Styela clava: one gene and its partner. The protein of the gene in region 1 interacts with the protein of each later gene in a pairwise test. Links are inferred from orthologs where the notes say so. Each region holds a gene or a part of one and is shown on either strand. Other genes may lie near its edges.

Region 1 (7,912 bases):
AAATCCAATATTTTAATTTTTTATTTTTTTCACTTATATTCCTTTTCATTTACCATAATAATTATCCAAATACGCTCATTGGGTATAACTACCACAATTTGTTCACCATATTAGTAATTCTCCAGACCCCTAGTAATTAATATGCATGGATCAATGATCATATGAGCGTGATAACTAACTTAAATCAATAGCCCCTTGTAATTGTGCTTTTTACAATTATTTAAGTGTATATTACTCTATAATTAGCCGTTACACTCATAGTCATCCATTACCTGGGAATCTTATGCATAACAGTGAATTTGGGGGGAGCTGACTTGGATGACCGTATGGTCGTATCGCTCCCTCCAGTCTTTACCATAAACAGTGTTTATTTATTTGTATTTATGCTTTCATATTTATATTTGTTGTGGTTGACGAATCAATAAATCTCTCTCGCTCAGACACTTTCGTCACCCTGACAGATTTTCAGTCGTGGTTGTAAAAAATACTTCGTTTTTGCGATTCTGAATGCTATTCGTTAGTTTTTGGTTGTGTTTGGGAAATTTAAGTATCAATCAAATAAGTCAATCATCATTTGCCTCTTTAGGAGTTGTAGTTTTAATAGTAGTAATGAAAAATTAGTCTAAGAAATAGCTGTGACAAAATAGGCTAAAATTTTCTACCGGGAGGCAACGTTTTCTGCGAAAGATGCACTCGCCGAAACTGTTTACGTCTTCGTGCTAAAATGAACGTCGAATGTGCATTTTGCGCTAACAGTACTGTAATCCCTCGCGTATTGCTCCAATTTCACAAGGCACACTAATTTTTGTACTGCTTAAATGCGGATATTCATGTAGGTAAGTTACAAAAAAAAAATAAAGTTCATCCGATTTGAATGAAAACTGCGCCAGTGGATAGATCTGAGTGAAAATAAGAAAACAATATCCAGTTTATAAAAAGCTTTTTTAATAAGAACTGTAATAAATATGAAAAAAACACATATCAATCACTAACCTTTCAATCTGCGCCACATCTATGGAATATTGAGACTATTTCATGATTTTATTCTGGCAACGGTCTTGACACCGCCGAAAGTTCGTCGCAAATAAACGCTGGAGTTGTGCATGATGTTTGACGGTGGTTCATTATGGGTAAAATTTAACGATGTTCTGGTTGTACAAACTCCATAAAAATTGGTAAGTATCATGTATCAAGTCAGGAAAGAAATACACACGTCCACATAATTTTTATTGGTGTCCATAGACAATATCATTAATTTGCACCACGTATAACTTGAGCGTAATTTTAAAAGCTCCGAATGTTGGGAAATTTATGCTCTAATGAATAAAAATCAAATACCAGATAATAGTTGTTTATTTTATCTAAATTATGTCGAAATTTCATGGAATTCCATGCTACAGCAGGCAGTCCGTAGTCGTGCAACGTTTTGATAACAGCTAAACTCAGGGTTGTCGTCTATATATAGAAATCTTGTATATTTGTTTTCCTAGGATGTTCTCGATCTATATTCTGCGATATATATAGAATTTAATATTCAAGTCTTCAGAAATGTAGAATATATATTGTTGAATAGATTTCCCAATTTTTGTGAATTTATTGTATTGCATTGACAAAAATATTTGTCCGGCCCGTTTCAACACAGTTTGAGTCATACCCGACCCGCGGTCAAAAAAGTTTGGTGCCCCCTGATCTAGTACATAGGTTCTTAAAGTGCTCCGTACGAAGCCCCAGGGCTCCGCGAGAAAAACCCAAAGGCTCCGCGAGAAAAACCCAAAGGCTCCGCGAGCTATTCGATTACTCCTCAAAATACTGACTCAAAATTTTGTAACTGTTCAAAGAAGCAATAACAGCTTTGATAAAATCTGACAACGATATAGCTTCGAAATATGGTAAAGAGGCGGAATTAAAAAATGACATTATTTATAAGCAGGAGCGCAGCCAGGATTCTTAAGAGGGAGGTGGTTCAAAATTGGAATCGGAAATTTCCGCGCAACATTCTTCGCGATTAAAAAAACGGATAACAAGATTTCTGTTGCGTAAAATATTCAATTCATGACCGATTCGAGCATTTAACGTGTCTCGTCGTTATATAATGTAATTGTGCTCATCATTACTCACGTTTGATTCGAGATTACCATTAGGATTGCTAAAAGGAAAAAATACTATTCTAAAATAACATAAAATATGTGATAAACTGCCAACTATATATAAATTGGAGTCGTATTTTTGCGATCTTGGGATTTGTCAAACTTGATTTGTTCTTTTGCACTTGAGATTATTTTTAAGCAAGATATCGCCGTTTAAAAAATCACAATGTCTGGGCAAAATACGAACAATTGAAATTTATTTTATTGCATTCGGCTCCGTCGGTAGTTTCAGAATGGGAAAAAAGGTACATCGAGCGCACAATTGACTGTGTTTCGATTCCGCAGGTACTACGATGAAAACCTAACATAACACCAAATTTTGAGATTTACAATGTCTATAAAAGCGTTTTCAATCTGAGGTGAGTCTGCTGAAACCAAACGTGTGATCTTCCATTTAAAGTTTCAGTTTTATTATTTTAGAATGCCGTTTTTCTATCAAGAAATTTGAGTTGCGGATTTATCTCTTTATTATTTTTAGCATTCCGTCGCCGATGACTACAATATGGTAACATGTTTTCACATTGAACTCCCCACGAGAACAAAAAAGCAATTAACGTCGTCATTGTGTAACAATACATGTATATGCCGAGGAAAATTTTTGATTTAGGGAGAATAAACACCGGCGTAAAGACGTTTGAAACTGACGAAAAAATCGGCGATTGTAACAAAATGAAATTGCGCACATTATTAGCGGCCTTTTAAGTCTTCCAAAAATGTCAAAAGGGAAAAGATTCGACCCCTAATTTATTAATATGTTTGTCAAGTGTCAAATTTACAGCTTTAGTATAAAATTTAAATTTATTTATGACTAGTGAAGTAAAGTACTTTTACCTTGCTCAGGAATATTAATCTAAAAGTAACAATTTTAACATTTATTTTGGGGCTCCGCGAATAATATTCAACCTTTCAAGTGCTCCGCAACACCAAGAGTTTGAGAACTCCTGATCTAGTAAACTCCACTTTTTTCTATGTACCGTATGTGAAATTGTGAAGTTTGCCAGATGTCCACGCGCGCCTTCTGTGTTTGTTTTTCCAGCATGTGCAACGCAGTGATATAGCGCATAGCGTACCGTAGCAGATGCTGTAGATTCGTAGATTTGCTGGTTGTGTGAGTGGGCTGCATGCACCGGTATGGTTTGGTCATAAATGAACAAGTTCAAAGTTAGTGCCATAACACCGGTATTCTGATCAGTGCCCAAATACAGAAATACCGGTACTGCGACGATTCCCAAATGCAGAAATGCGTGAGTACAGGTACCCATAGTTTGAATGGAGCACGTTTAACAACAAACTACGGACTGAACTGCGAAAGCCATATGGTTATCTTTTGTCGAGACCCATTCATTTATTTTTATCTTTTGCTGCCATGCAGCCATGAGTGGTAACTGACTCAGATGACCGTAAATGGTCGTATCCGTATTTTGTTATTATTATGTGTTTTCTGGTTGATTCTTTCTCTCTATATCAGGGTCGTCCAACCCGTGGCCTGCGGGCCACATGTGGCCCGTCGAGGAGTTTTGAGTGGCCCGCGCTGTATTTTCGAAATAAAAAAAAATTGAGTAAAACTTCTATTTTTCGAGTGATGTAGTTAATATGAAGATTTGATACAAACAATTTGTTTATTTTCCTGAAATGCGCTCTGCTAGCCCATCCCCAACTGGAAGAAATCGATACATAAATAGTAGCTTACACACTTGGGCAGAATGGCAGTTTTAATGACCTCATATTTGGCAGCACGTACTCGTACAAGCAAGTTTTTTCACAGATAAACCATGTCAAATTCCCTCTGAGATCACTAATTTCTGACAGTCATATGGAAAATTGGCTTCGCATTGCTACATCGTCCTTTTCAGTGAAAAACAGTGCCAAACTTCACACTAAAATGTCTACGTGTAGAAAAAACTTTGTTGACTTTACTGTATCTTCGTTTTCTTCATTGTTCTTATTATTGAGAAAGTTTGGTGCGAGGGTTTTGTTTGTTTTTTTATAAATTTTTGGTCAGTGTAGCAAAACTAGAATATAATTACTATGTTAAGTGGCCCGCGCAATTATTAGTAAACTAAATATGGCCCGTGGGCCAAAAAGGTTGGCCGACTCTGCTCTATATATAGTCTATATACCCCTGTACCCTAACCTATGTAGTGTTACCTACGTAACATGTGGATTTTGTTGTTATATTAGTATGCTGAATCACGGACTGTTATTATGTAATCCTACCATTAACACCAAATTTAATGAGTGATTTTTCCATGGCATGTAGATATTAAATGTTTTAAGCCTAAAATGTCAGAATCTTCATCAGAGGATGAATCTTCACATCCATATGTGGATTTGATTTCTTTGGTTAAAACGAATAATCACCAAGAAGAAATAGAAACTGATTCTGAAGATGACAATGTTATCCCTAAAAGGCAGAAGTTAGAAGAAGGAATCCTTGAAAAGAAATCATCAAGCCAGCCACAGGATGACAGTTCTAATGAATCTGAGGACAACGAAGATGTAACTGATGTTCTTATGGAAAACAGTGATTCTGAAAATGAAGATGACAATAACGACTCTGCTGAAATATTGATATTTGGTGAGTCTGATGATGAAGACAATTTTGATAAATCTAAGAATCTCAGTTGTGATTATTACAAACAACATCTTGAGACAAATATTGATTATTTTGTACAACATATAGAAAAGAACAAACCTCAAAGGAGAGATACTTTGGAATGGCCCATGCTAGGGAAGATTCAGTTTATGAATCGATCTGAAGATCCAGCAACAAATGAATTTCTTCCCAAAGTTCCAATCAAGAAAAACACAAACATTGAAACTTATAGACAAACATATCATATCAGAAAAATTGTAATTGATAATTGGATGCAATTTGATAAAAGAAATAAAACAAAGTCGAAAAAAGATAAACACAATGATTTGTTTAACTTGCAGCAAAAAGAGCTATTCACGCTATTGAGTTCATATGTTGATGTGTCTTATACAGATACAAATCTTCTTAATACGTCATCATCTATTCAAGGTGTATATTGTTTTCATGCTGTAAATCATGTCATTAGATCTCGTGCCAAAGTATTACTCAACACATCCAGATTAAGGAAAATGACTCCGGAACAACGTGAACAATCTGAATATCGAGACCAAGGTATCACAAGACCAAAAGTTTTAATCTTAGTTCCTTTCAAGGAAACTGCATTGAGAGTGATTAATATCATGTTGGAATTATTCAAGCAAGGCGATAAATTTGAAGTCAGTTATAAGAAAAGATTTCGCGATGAATTTAGCCAGAGTGAAGATGATATCGATGGAGGTTTTTCAAAAAAGCCGGAAGATTATCAATGCTTATTTGCTGGAAATACAGATGAACATTTTCGAATTGGAATAGCACTGTTACGAAACTCAGTTCGCCTTTACTCACCATTCTATTCCTCTGATATTATTGTGGCATCACCACTTGGACTCAGAACAGTAATTGGTTCTGAAGGAGAAAAACACCATGAACATGATTTCTTGTCATCTATTGAACTTGTTATTATGGACCAAACTGATGTGTTCTTAATGCAGAATTGGGAACATGTTTTACATATATTTGAGCATTTGAATATTACACCAAAAGATTCACATGGTGTAGACTTTTCAAGAGTTAGAAATTTTTCGTTGGATGGTAGAAACAAATTTTACAGACAAACTGTAGTAATATCGAATGTACACTTGCCACAGATATCATCTATCTTTACTAAATGGTGTTGCAACTATAAGGGCTTTGTTAAAACAGAGAATATTCCAGAAAAGGGTAATATATGTGCTATTGCTAAGCAACTTCCACAAGTATTCCACAAGCTTTCCGCACCAAGTTTGGTCGAGTCTTCAGAAGCACGCTTTCGTTTCTTTGTTGATAAATTATATAAGCAGTACAAGGACCCAAGCATGTCACATACCCTGATTTATGTACCACAATATTTTGATTTTGTCCGTCTTCGTAATTTTATGAGAAAACAAAAAAAAGAGGGGTCTGGACCCATATTTGGTCATATAAATGACTACAGCACACCATCCGCTGCTAACAAGACCAAACGTCGGTTTTATACGGGAAAATGCCCATTAATGCTTTATACTGAAAGATTTCATTTTTATAACAGGGCAAGAATTCGGGGAATGCGGCATCTTATTTTTTATGAATTGCCAACTTATCCTTTGTTCTATGTAGAATTGTGTAACATGGTGAGAGATTCACACCAAGGAGATGGAGTTACTTCATCTAGTTCAGTAAATGTTATGTATACAAAATTCGATACCCAAAAACTTGCTTCCACAGTTGGAATGTCCCGTTGTCGTCAATTGCAAACTTCAACAAGAACTGTTCATATGTTTGTTGCTGGGACAAATGACGATTAATATATAATTAATTATGTTGGCAATTTGTTGATTTTCCAATAATGGGCTATATTCAATGTGTTTTTTGACTCTCTTTCTCCCAAAGTTATGAAATTTTGTGTTATTTGGTGCCTTCCACACCTTCAATGAAGCCTCTTACTCATGTCCCTAGTTGGAACACGGTTTCATCCAAGCTATCCAACATCACCCGCTACTTAATTCTCAAGTCACATTGAGCATATACATTTTATTCCTGTCTGGGGAGTATATCAATGTGTTGGCTGGTGTAATAATTAAATAAAACCTTATGACCGTTGATTTTTGTGAATAAAGGCTAAAGCCACTTGTCTTAAGCAAATATTCATCAACTTAATAGGCCATATCATCTATGAGAATATATGTCATAAAATGTGTATAGAAGTGTCAATACTTAAAGTTAAACTTGGATGGACCTAATTCATTCATGGGATTCAGTAATTTCATATTTTCTGTTTTATTTAGATTTCATATATTTAATGTAAATATAAAAATGTCATCTCACAAAAGGCCTGAACTTCAGGCTCCTCCCGAGATATTTTACAATGAAAATGAGGCACAAAAATATACTACAAACTCAAGAATGATGGAGATCCAGGCAAAGATGACAGAACGTGCTCTGGAGTTACTCAATTTGCCAGAGGATAGTTCATGTTTTATTTTAGATGTTGGATGTGGTTCTGGATTAAGTGGGGAAACTATAACAGAAATGGGACATTGTTGGATTGGTTTTGATATCAGTACAGCAATGCTCAATGTTGCTGTCGAACGTGAAGTGGAAGGTGATATAATAAATGCCGATGCTGGTGAAGGCTTGTTTTTTAAACCTGGAACATTTGATGGTGTAATCAGTATATCAGCGATTCAGTGGTTATGTTATTCAAATGTAAAATCCCATAATCCTCCCAAAAGGCTTTATAATTTTTTCTCCACTTTATATTCTGCTATGAGACAAGGTAGCAGAGCAGTGTTTCAATTATACCCAGAAAACCCCAGTCAACTGGAACTTATTACAACACAAGCAACGAGAGCTGGGTTTAGTGGTGGTGTTATCATTGACTATCCTAACAGCACAAAAGCGAAGAAAATATTTTTGTGCTTATTTTGTGGAGTTCCCACTCCTGAAATGCCATCAGCATTGGGTACTGGGGATGCTTCTAATACGCAAATACACTATAACCAACAAAGAATTTCGTACAAGCAAATGAAAGGTAAAAGCGTGAAAAAGTCCAAGGACTGGATAACTGCAAAGAAAGAAAGGTTAAAGAGGCAGGGAAAGCAAGTTAAACCGAACACTAAATACACAGGAAGGAAAAGAAGATCAAAGTTTTAAAAGCTCTTTTAGCATGCAT
Region 2 (8,398 bases), on another chromosome or scaffold:
TCCTTTCATAAATCAAAACTGAATATCAAAATAACAACAAAACGTGACTAAAAATCAATCAGGACATGATTTTGTGAATTTATAAAGCCATTATAATCCGTCAAGTCAATTTCAGCTGTTGTTCTCTTTCCATATTCAAACTATTTGCAACATATTATTTTGATTCAATCGTTTTATGATGAAATGCATAAAATTATTAATTCCTTTTTTGGTGATGAATCATGAAATATTACATAATCGTGCGCGGCATAGCTAGTCATCAGTATACCAGAGGAATGTGTCATGAAGTGACTTGAAGAATCAATTATTTGGCCCAGAAATACTGGAATACGAATTTATACATTGGCAAAATACTTATACTGCATAATTAGAAGCATTTAATAGAAACATGATCAACCATTGGCTAGATATTATTAAAGTTAATGAAACATCCATAGTATATACAAAATTTGAAATTTAGAGTGCAATGCATACATTCAGGATAGAAATTAATAACACACATATGTAAAAAGTTCTTGAAATTAGACACGTTAAAATTAAAACATAATTAAAATAACCTAGATACATTATTCTATAAAATGTTAATTAAGAAATATAGTCAGCAAAATGGTCAGTTATATTTCATCAAAAATCAAAGAAATATGAAGTAGAAAAGTATCATTTCTTCAATTCTTATAGTATTTTAAACAAAGAATTCGAAGCTACCCTTGTGTAAATGGTAACAAATTTAATAATTAGGTTCTGATATAAAGTCAACAAATATCTTTATGAAGACATTAGACAATATATGATACAACAATTAAAAAAACCTACATACATTATTCTATAAAATGCTAATTAGGAGATATCGTCATCAAAATGGCCAGTTATATTTCATCAAAAAACAAACAAATATGAAGTAGAAAAGTATCGCCCCTTCAATTCTTTCAGTATTTTAAACAAGGAATTCAAAACTTTCATCGTCTACCCTTGTGAAAATGGTACCAAATTTAACTAGGCTCTGATATAAAGTCGACAAATATCTCTATGAAGACATACAATATATGATGTTTTCGATTAACAGCATGGGCTGCCATATTGTTCATATTCTTTACTCTTCATGCATGCATTTTATGCTTACAAGCTTTTGAAAACAGTTTGTGAATACCTGATCAATACATTGTAACAGCTATGGCTGAATCACAACATTCCAAAGTCCTCTCATTGTGTTGATGCAGACAGAGTAAATAAAGCATTATTCACTTTCCTAAAATTGGGATGAGTAGGTCCAGGTTTACCATCAATAGATATTGTTTTGGTTTTCCCACCAAGTTTACATTGAATTTGGGATCCTACATGGACTGGTAACTGCTTTCTCAAATGTCCATTTACAAGCTTGACCAAAACTCCTACCGCTTCTGGAGCACGATCGTCATATTCAGGATTTGTCTTCTGAATACAAAGAACCAAATCATCTGAGCCATCAACATGGATGATTAAAAGTTGATCAGTCCCATTAGACACACTAACTCCTGTGACTTTATCCACCGGGATTCGATTCATTGGTTTGTATGATTTACCTGGATCCAATTTGAAGATGAATTTCTCTGTTACAAGCAGGGCTCTGTCTTCACATTTATTTTTTCTGTTAACCTTACGAACATGAGAAGAAAACTTGATTTCTCCAAAGTGAAACTTTGAGTTGAGTTGATTTGTCTTTGCCGAAAACACAGCAGCTAACGATTGATTTTCAGTTTGGGATGCCAGATAGTTACCTTCCCATTTCCTTTTTCGTAGCCAGTTGGTACGTTTTCCATGTAAAGCTTCATAAGCTGCACAACGAAGTTCAACTGCTGGCCATTCAGATCGCGGAATCCTTTTGACAATTTTGCCGGCTCTCCATTTTTTGTGGATTAGTTTCATGTGGTCAACAAGCTCTTCTAAGCCAGCAGGTGGATGAGTCCAGACAATCCCCTTCCCAAGATCTGGCTTTTTGAGAACACCTTGAAACTTCTGAGACATTTCCAGCAAATAGCATCGCATTTTGTATAATTTGTATCTTCTCATGATTCTGTATGTAGCAACAGTACGCTTATACCTTAGACGAGCGATTCCACCTCTCCACATTTTCTGTAGGAGAATGACAAGCTGTGGAATTAACATCGCTCTTCTTTCTTCCAAGTTGACGAGGGTCTGAGGGGTTCGAATGAAAACTTTTGTTTTTCCATACGCAATATCATCATCAATTTCAATGTCAGTTATTAGAGCTTGTACTGCTTCATTGTCAGTTTCACATTGATGATTCGGCCACGTGAAAGAAGACAGCATTTTATATCTTTGTAGAAACCTTCTGTATGGCTGTCTGTTTGCATAACCAGCTCTTCGAACACGAACATTTTCCATCAATCCAAGATATAATACTTGATGCTTGCATCTATCATAATTGAACTGCACTGGCGATTTCACTTCATTCGGTTTGACACAACGAACGTAATAAGGTTCTTTCGAATTCAGCTTCTGTACAAGAGCAATCATCGAATTTTTGAATAGGGTACCAGCTGTTTGAGGCCTTTTTGTTACTTCTTTGATGCTTTGTGCACCTTCAGGCCACATTTCTTTTATGGTGGGATTCTTGCTATTGTACAGCAATCTTTTGAAATCTTGGAAGAGCTGATCTTTATTTTTGTCCAAGAAATTTTCAACACTGTACTTTACATCTCCTGCGTAATGAAGAATCTGAAAATCTTGATCATGAGTCAGATTTTTATTTTTTGCATCTTTTCGTCTGCTCGTGAAGTGAGCATGATCTTTTAACTTGTTGTCCATTGCTTCTAGAAACATTGAATCAGTGACTTTTCCTACATTGAGGCAAGCTTCGTCACAGATGGCAATAATACCTTTATGGGGTTGCTCAACCAAGTCGCAAATAATTTGATTGTTGAAATATTCAACATTTTGCCATGTTATACCTTCACTGTAATATTCTTCTTGTTCCTGTTTCAACACGAGCTCAATGAAAAGTTGTTGCAATTTTTCATTACAATAATTAATGCAAAACTGTTCAAAACTATTGTTGTCAAAGATCTCAAAGCCGTATATGTCAAGAACCCCAATCAGTGTACTTTTACCATATCTTACAATATCTTGTTTTACTTCAAGGATTGAATTGATGCGGCCCACAATAAATGAAAACATTCGTTCATACATTGCTTTTGCAAAAGCGTCTCTACCATGATTAGCATCTGTCATGTCATGAAGCTTAGCAATGACTTCTCCTCTTGCTGCAACAACACGACTCTGTAAGCTGTCTTCCAATTCTTTTTCACTTACACTTAGCAAATTGGCGATTGCTTTAATTGAATTGCGGTCTTTGACAATCACATTTTCACCAGACATTCCAAATTCAATGTTTCCTAAGAATAAAACTGCAGCAACAATTTTGAAAAGTGTTTTTTGTTCATCATCTTTGAAACCAACAGCTTTCAATGCTGCAGCAACCTCTTTGTGTGTTTTCTTGTCATCAACGTTTCTCACACTATTCGATTGACCTTGGTTAGTGTAAGTATATTTCGATGGGTCTCTTGTTAAATGCAGTTCTTTAATCAGTTGCTCACTTGCACCTGCTAGAAGTTGATAGAAAGAATGGAAATTCCTTTCTCCAATTTGTTGATGAACAACTCTTGATTTTTCCAAAAGATAATTATTGATGTGTCCACCAATAGGATCACCTTTAAAATCAAAGTTGATATCCATATATTTTCCAAAACGTGAAGAATTATCATTTCTATTTGTCTTGGCATTACCAAACGATTCCAAAACAACATTGGATTTTAGCAGGACCCCAGTAACTCGTTCAATTTCATGACGAGCTGATGCATTTGTGATAGAAGTAATGTAATTCATTATAATTTTAGATGCCTCTGTCTTGCCAGCTCCAGATTCACCAGAAATCACAATGCATGTATCTTTTAGATATCTCTTCATAGTGCGATAAGCAGCATCTGCGAGAGCATAAATATGAGGAGGCCGTTCCCAAAATTCCTTGTCTTTGTATTCTCTCACTGTTTCTGGGGAGTAAATATTCATAGATTTGTATGGATTCACTGACACAACCACTTCTCCAATATAAGTATAAATACGACATTTTTCAAATCGTAGTTGGAGATTTTTCATGAACTCTTCGATGGTTAAATCGTCCAGGAGAACAAAGTCTCCTTTCCCGAATTCTGGTCCCTCAAAACTCATGGTGCTGAGAGATTCCAAAAAGCAGGAGATATTGATACAGGTTCCCAAATAAAAATGAAATATAAATATGTAGTCTTAAATATTAATCTAAGAAATATATATTTGTCAATTACATTACTATGTCATTGCTAGCGAACCTAAAACTAATTAAGGACGAGTTACAGGATTTTTCTTCCTTTTTTAAATGCACTTTTTTCAGTACATACACTAGCGCACTATGCTGCTGTGCCAAAACCTACATCGTCCAACAAATGACTTTATTTCGAATTTCCCTTACAACAAAACATAGAAGCAATACGGGGCAAAACAAACAAATATACAGAAAATCAGGAAGGTAGGCAAAATCTACAAACGATTCAAAACATGCTGATGCACGTACCACCCCAAACAGAAAATAACACATTAAAGTAAATTGAAAAAAATGAATGAAAGCTAATTCCTACAGGGGTGGTGACCCCTCTACGGCCCATCAGAAAAAATTCAATTATCTTACCAAAATTTTCAATTTTTACAAAATTGTCAATATTGGAACCAAAAAAAAATTGCAGCATGCCACCAAACCTTTTACTTGCGATAAGCCTTTTCATAAAAATAAAGCAAAATACCAAGCTACAGAAAAGGATACACGGAAGTATGTGTGCCAGGTTAGGGTTAGGACAAAATTTTGTTCAGATTTTTCACATTCAGACATAATAGTTCTATTATGAGTTCAGGGAGTGGGTAGGATTTACATATTTATTAGTCTTTATTATTTTATCCCTTTACACAACTTGATGGGCCGTGGCCCATAGCCTGATGGGCCGAGGCCCATTTCGATGGGCCGTGGCCCCGGCCCATGGTTCGTAGAGGAGTCACCACTTCCACTCGATAATTCGGGCATTAACACTTGGGTATGAGGTTTGAACATGCGCTACTATTTCTACTATATTGTATACAAGAAAATAATGATAAGAGTAGAGCACAAAAACAAACAAGCGGTGTACAATATGTGATACTGGACGATAAACAACAAAAATAAAGGCAGCGGTAAAGTAAACAACAAGAAATGAAATATGATAAGAGCATTCCGTGAAGATAAATGCCCCGACTTTCAAACTTTAGCAGAATCAAAATCAATGTGCTTTGTAAACATGTACTGTGCAAGCAGTCTTTTCATGGAACAAGTTACAAAACAACACACAAAGATCACTCAATGACATTTTCATATTGCTATGGTAGACTACCTACTGACCTATGACTAGTACCAGTATCCTTGATATAACTTACTATGTCATCTCCGAATTCCAAAAAAATATAAACTTCAAATTGGGTCTTTCTGAACTTTCCAAATTACTAACTTACGGTAACATTACAGCATTAAAAATAACAAAATAATAAAGTCTGAAAGTCTAATATAAGACAGCTTAAATTTATATTTCTGACCCTTTTTATGTATTAATTATTTCTAGATTATTTAAACATAAAAATATGGGTGAGCACAACTGATAATAAACCTGGTCTATCCCTGGACTTGTTACCGGTACCGTATCGCAATGACTACGCCCAACTCGGCAAACACGACGTGAATTACTGAGCTGATCTGCGCTTTGTCGCTGTTGCCTAGAGCGGCAATTTTAAACTAATTTAGGCGCATCAAAGGATGACATAATACTAGAACAACAACGCATCGAGTCGAAATTATATAGACTACAATAATCTATTCGCAGGTAATGAATACAACGTTACAAAGCCCAGGCATAGTGTATACTGTTATTTCAATAGGTCACCTCGGGCGCCGCGCATTGCCATCACGCCTACTTCATAATTCATAACATCCGCCGCCTTTAGGTGACGTAATGCGTAACGCGCAGCCGGCACATGACGTATTTGCACATACACTCAGTTACGCAAACTTCCAATATTTGCGATAGATCACGCAAGGCCGTTAAGAACAGCTAGGAAGTAAATGGTGACACCACGCGAGATTCTGCGCTGCATTTCTCGAGCATGATATTCGAGCATATAAATTATAAAATATGTGCATATAAGGCAATAAAATTGAAATAAAAGAATTGAAACATATCTGTCTTATCCCGCGAGATATAAATGAAATTTTCATTTCACATCACATCAGCAAGATTTTATATTGTAAACGGCTAAAGGTACAAAAACGTTCGGACCTAAAATATACATTTATGCTCTATAAAACCACCAAATTAGAGAACATAGATCATATATTATGGCCTCATTTGATAGCGATAAATTTATCACCATTGCCCGACCTATCTACAGATTATTATATCAAATTTTCTCTTTGATATACGAGTAGTTAGATAGGTCTTTATTGCTACATGACATTTAGCAGTAATAATAAACGATTGAAATTGTCAGCTGTTTTCCCATGGCCGGCTCCTTTTCGTCGACGCAATGTGATATCGCCAGGCAACAAACAACGCTATTCACAGGATCAGTTTCGTGAGAGATCAGTGATCAATACAGAGGGATTATTGCTTTCAGCGTGAGCATGTGCGAAACAATCGCTTTGGAGAAACAGATGAAATCGGGTCGTAAAGTTATACAGTGTCATATTTATTACGTTATTATTTATTCAGAGTGTTATTTCCGTTATATAATAGTTCACAAATTAAATGAAGTACGTAAAATACTGCCAGGAATCTGCTTGAAGAAAGCTATTTTGAAGGGCCAATTACCGTTATGACTTTTTCAGCTTTATCAAAATGCTAATTTAATATACGTAATACAAGACCACTATTATCAGAAACTTACTGCCCAAAAGATCACTTCAAACGCCGAATTCCTTTGCAATGCACCCAAAACTATTTATTATTTTTCACTGTTGCACTTATAATTAAATATTGTTTCTGCGTTTGGGAATTCTATTTCCTTTAAAATATTAGAGTAAGCTTACTATTTTTGACGAAATTTTACAGAAACACGGTGATGCCCATAATCGACATACAAATTACGGTAATATGCCAAAGTAAACATATTTTGTTTATAAGGTATTTGGTTTTTAAAGCGATGGGAAATGAATGAAACAGAATATTTAAGAAAGGAATGAATTACAGCAATAGCACTAAAAATATATATAACTTGATCATCGCATCTGCTAGAATAGATATTTGATGTTTAGGTGGACTAAACCTCTGCTGGTCTTTTGATTTTTTAGCAGCTCATAATTTCTAACATCTGGTTTGGTAAAATGCAATTAATTTTGTAATTTGCCTGTCACTTGATTTGATGGTTAAAAATCAGATTGATGGAGGGTATTGAAGATTACAGTGGTCATGCTGATAAAGTTTTGTCAGATTTAAGAGATGCTGTTGTAAATGCTGATGACAAGTTAATCCAGTTGCAAAAGGAACTTGACAGCCTGGAAAGGTATAGTTTTAGATAAAGTAATAGAAATAATAGTCTAATTTTTATAAAGTCGTATTAAGCTATTAAATATTGTGATCAATGGATGTAATTAATATACCAATATTTGTTATTCAGGAAAGCATTAGAGAAAGACCATGACTACGGACATCACAATAGCAAAAGTTCAGACTTGAATGATGACGACATATCAAAATATTTGGAAGGTAATGCTGTCGTAATTCATTGCAAAAGATTTTGTGACAAAATCAATTGTTATAGGAAAATTGTTTAGTTGGTAATCATGGACACACAACTTTCAATATCAAGATTGCACTGTGCTAATTCATTACATCTGTTTTTGCCATGTATTGTATATTTATTATTTTGCTGCACAGTATGTAAATGAAATTTTCTAACACAAAATGTTAAGCAATAATTTTTGTTTTTGATTGTGAACCAATTATTATTTTAAGACTATTCTGAGGAAAATACCATAGATGACAGCATTCTGACATCTCTGCGTTCATCAGCATCACTGAGTTATGCCGCTGCAGCAACGAAACCATTTGAAACATATCAGAGTCAAAGTAAACCTGCACCTGCCAAATCCATCAATCAATTTTCAACACCTGTAGAAAACAATAAAACTAATGAAAGTCATTCCAATAAATCAAACGAGGATGAAATGAATGAAAGATGGGGTTGCCTGAGAAATGTTTTAGCAGAAGACAATTCAGGTATTTCAATATACAATCGCCGTGGGAGTTTTTCTTGTGCACTTTATGTATAAGAACAGGTTATTTCCCAATCAGCC

The links.
Region 2: the proteins of U3 small nucleolar RNA-associated protein 25 homolog (region 1) and uncharacterized protein LOC120331579 interact in binary tests that used the Homo sapiens proteins (3 or more experiments, as listed by UniProt). The link is inferred for Styela clava from reciprocal best matches to the Homo sapiens genes UTP25 and MIPOL1.

What each region holds. Positions count from the first base shown.
Region 1 is NC_135253.1:6,533,390-6,541,301, forward strand, and holds U3 small nucleolar RNA-associated protein 25 homolog, read left to right. Parts: upstream 1-4,359; 5' UTR 4,360-4,430; coding exon 4,431-6,545; 3' UTR 6,546-6,987; downstream 6,988-7,912. Other genes in the region: 18S rRNA (guanine-N(7))-methyltransferase-like, read left to right, coding at 6,988-7,893. UniProt on the Homo sapiens protein: Component of the ribosomal small subunit processome for the biogenesis of ribosomes, functions in pre-ribosomal RNA (pre-rRNA) processing. Essential for embryonic development in part through the regulation of p53 pathway.
Region 2 is NC_135255.1:13,078,637-13,087,034, reverse strand, and holds the start of uncharacterized protein LOC120331579, read left to right. Parts: upstream 1-4,849; 5' UTR 4,850-7,483; coding exon 7,484-7,605; intron 7,606-7,719; coding exon 7,720-7,808; intron 7,809-8,057; coding exon 8,058-8,321; intron 8,322-8,398. Other genes in the region: unconventional myosin-Id-like, read right to left, coding at 1,201-4,224.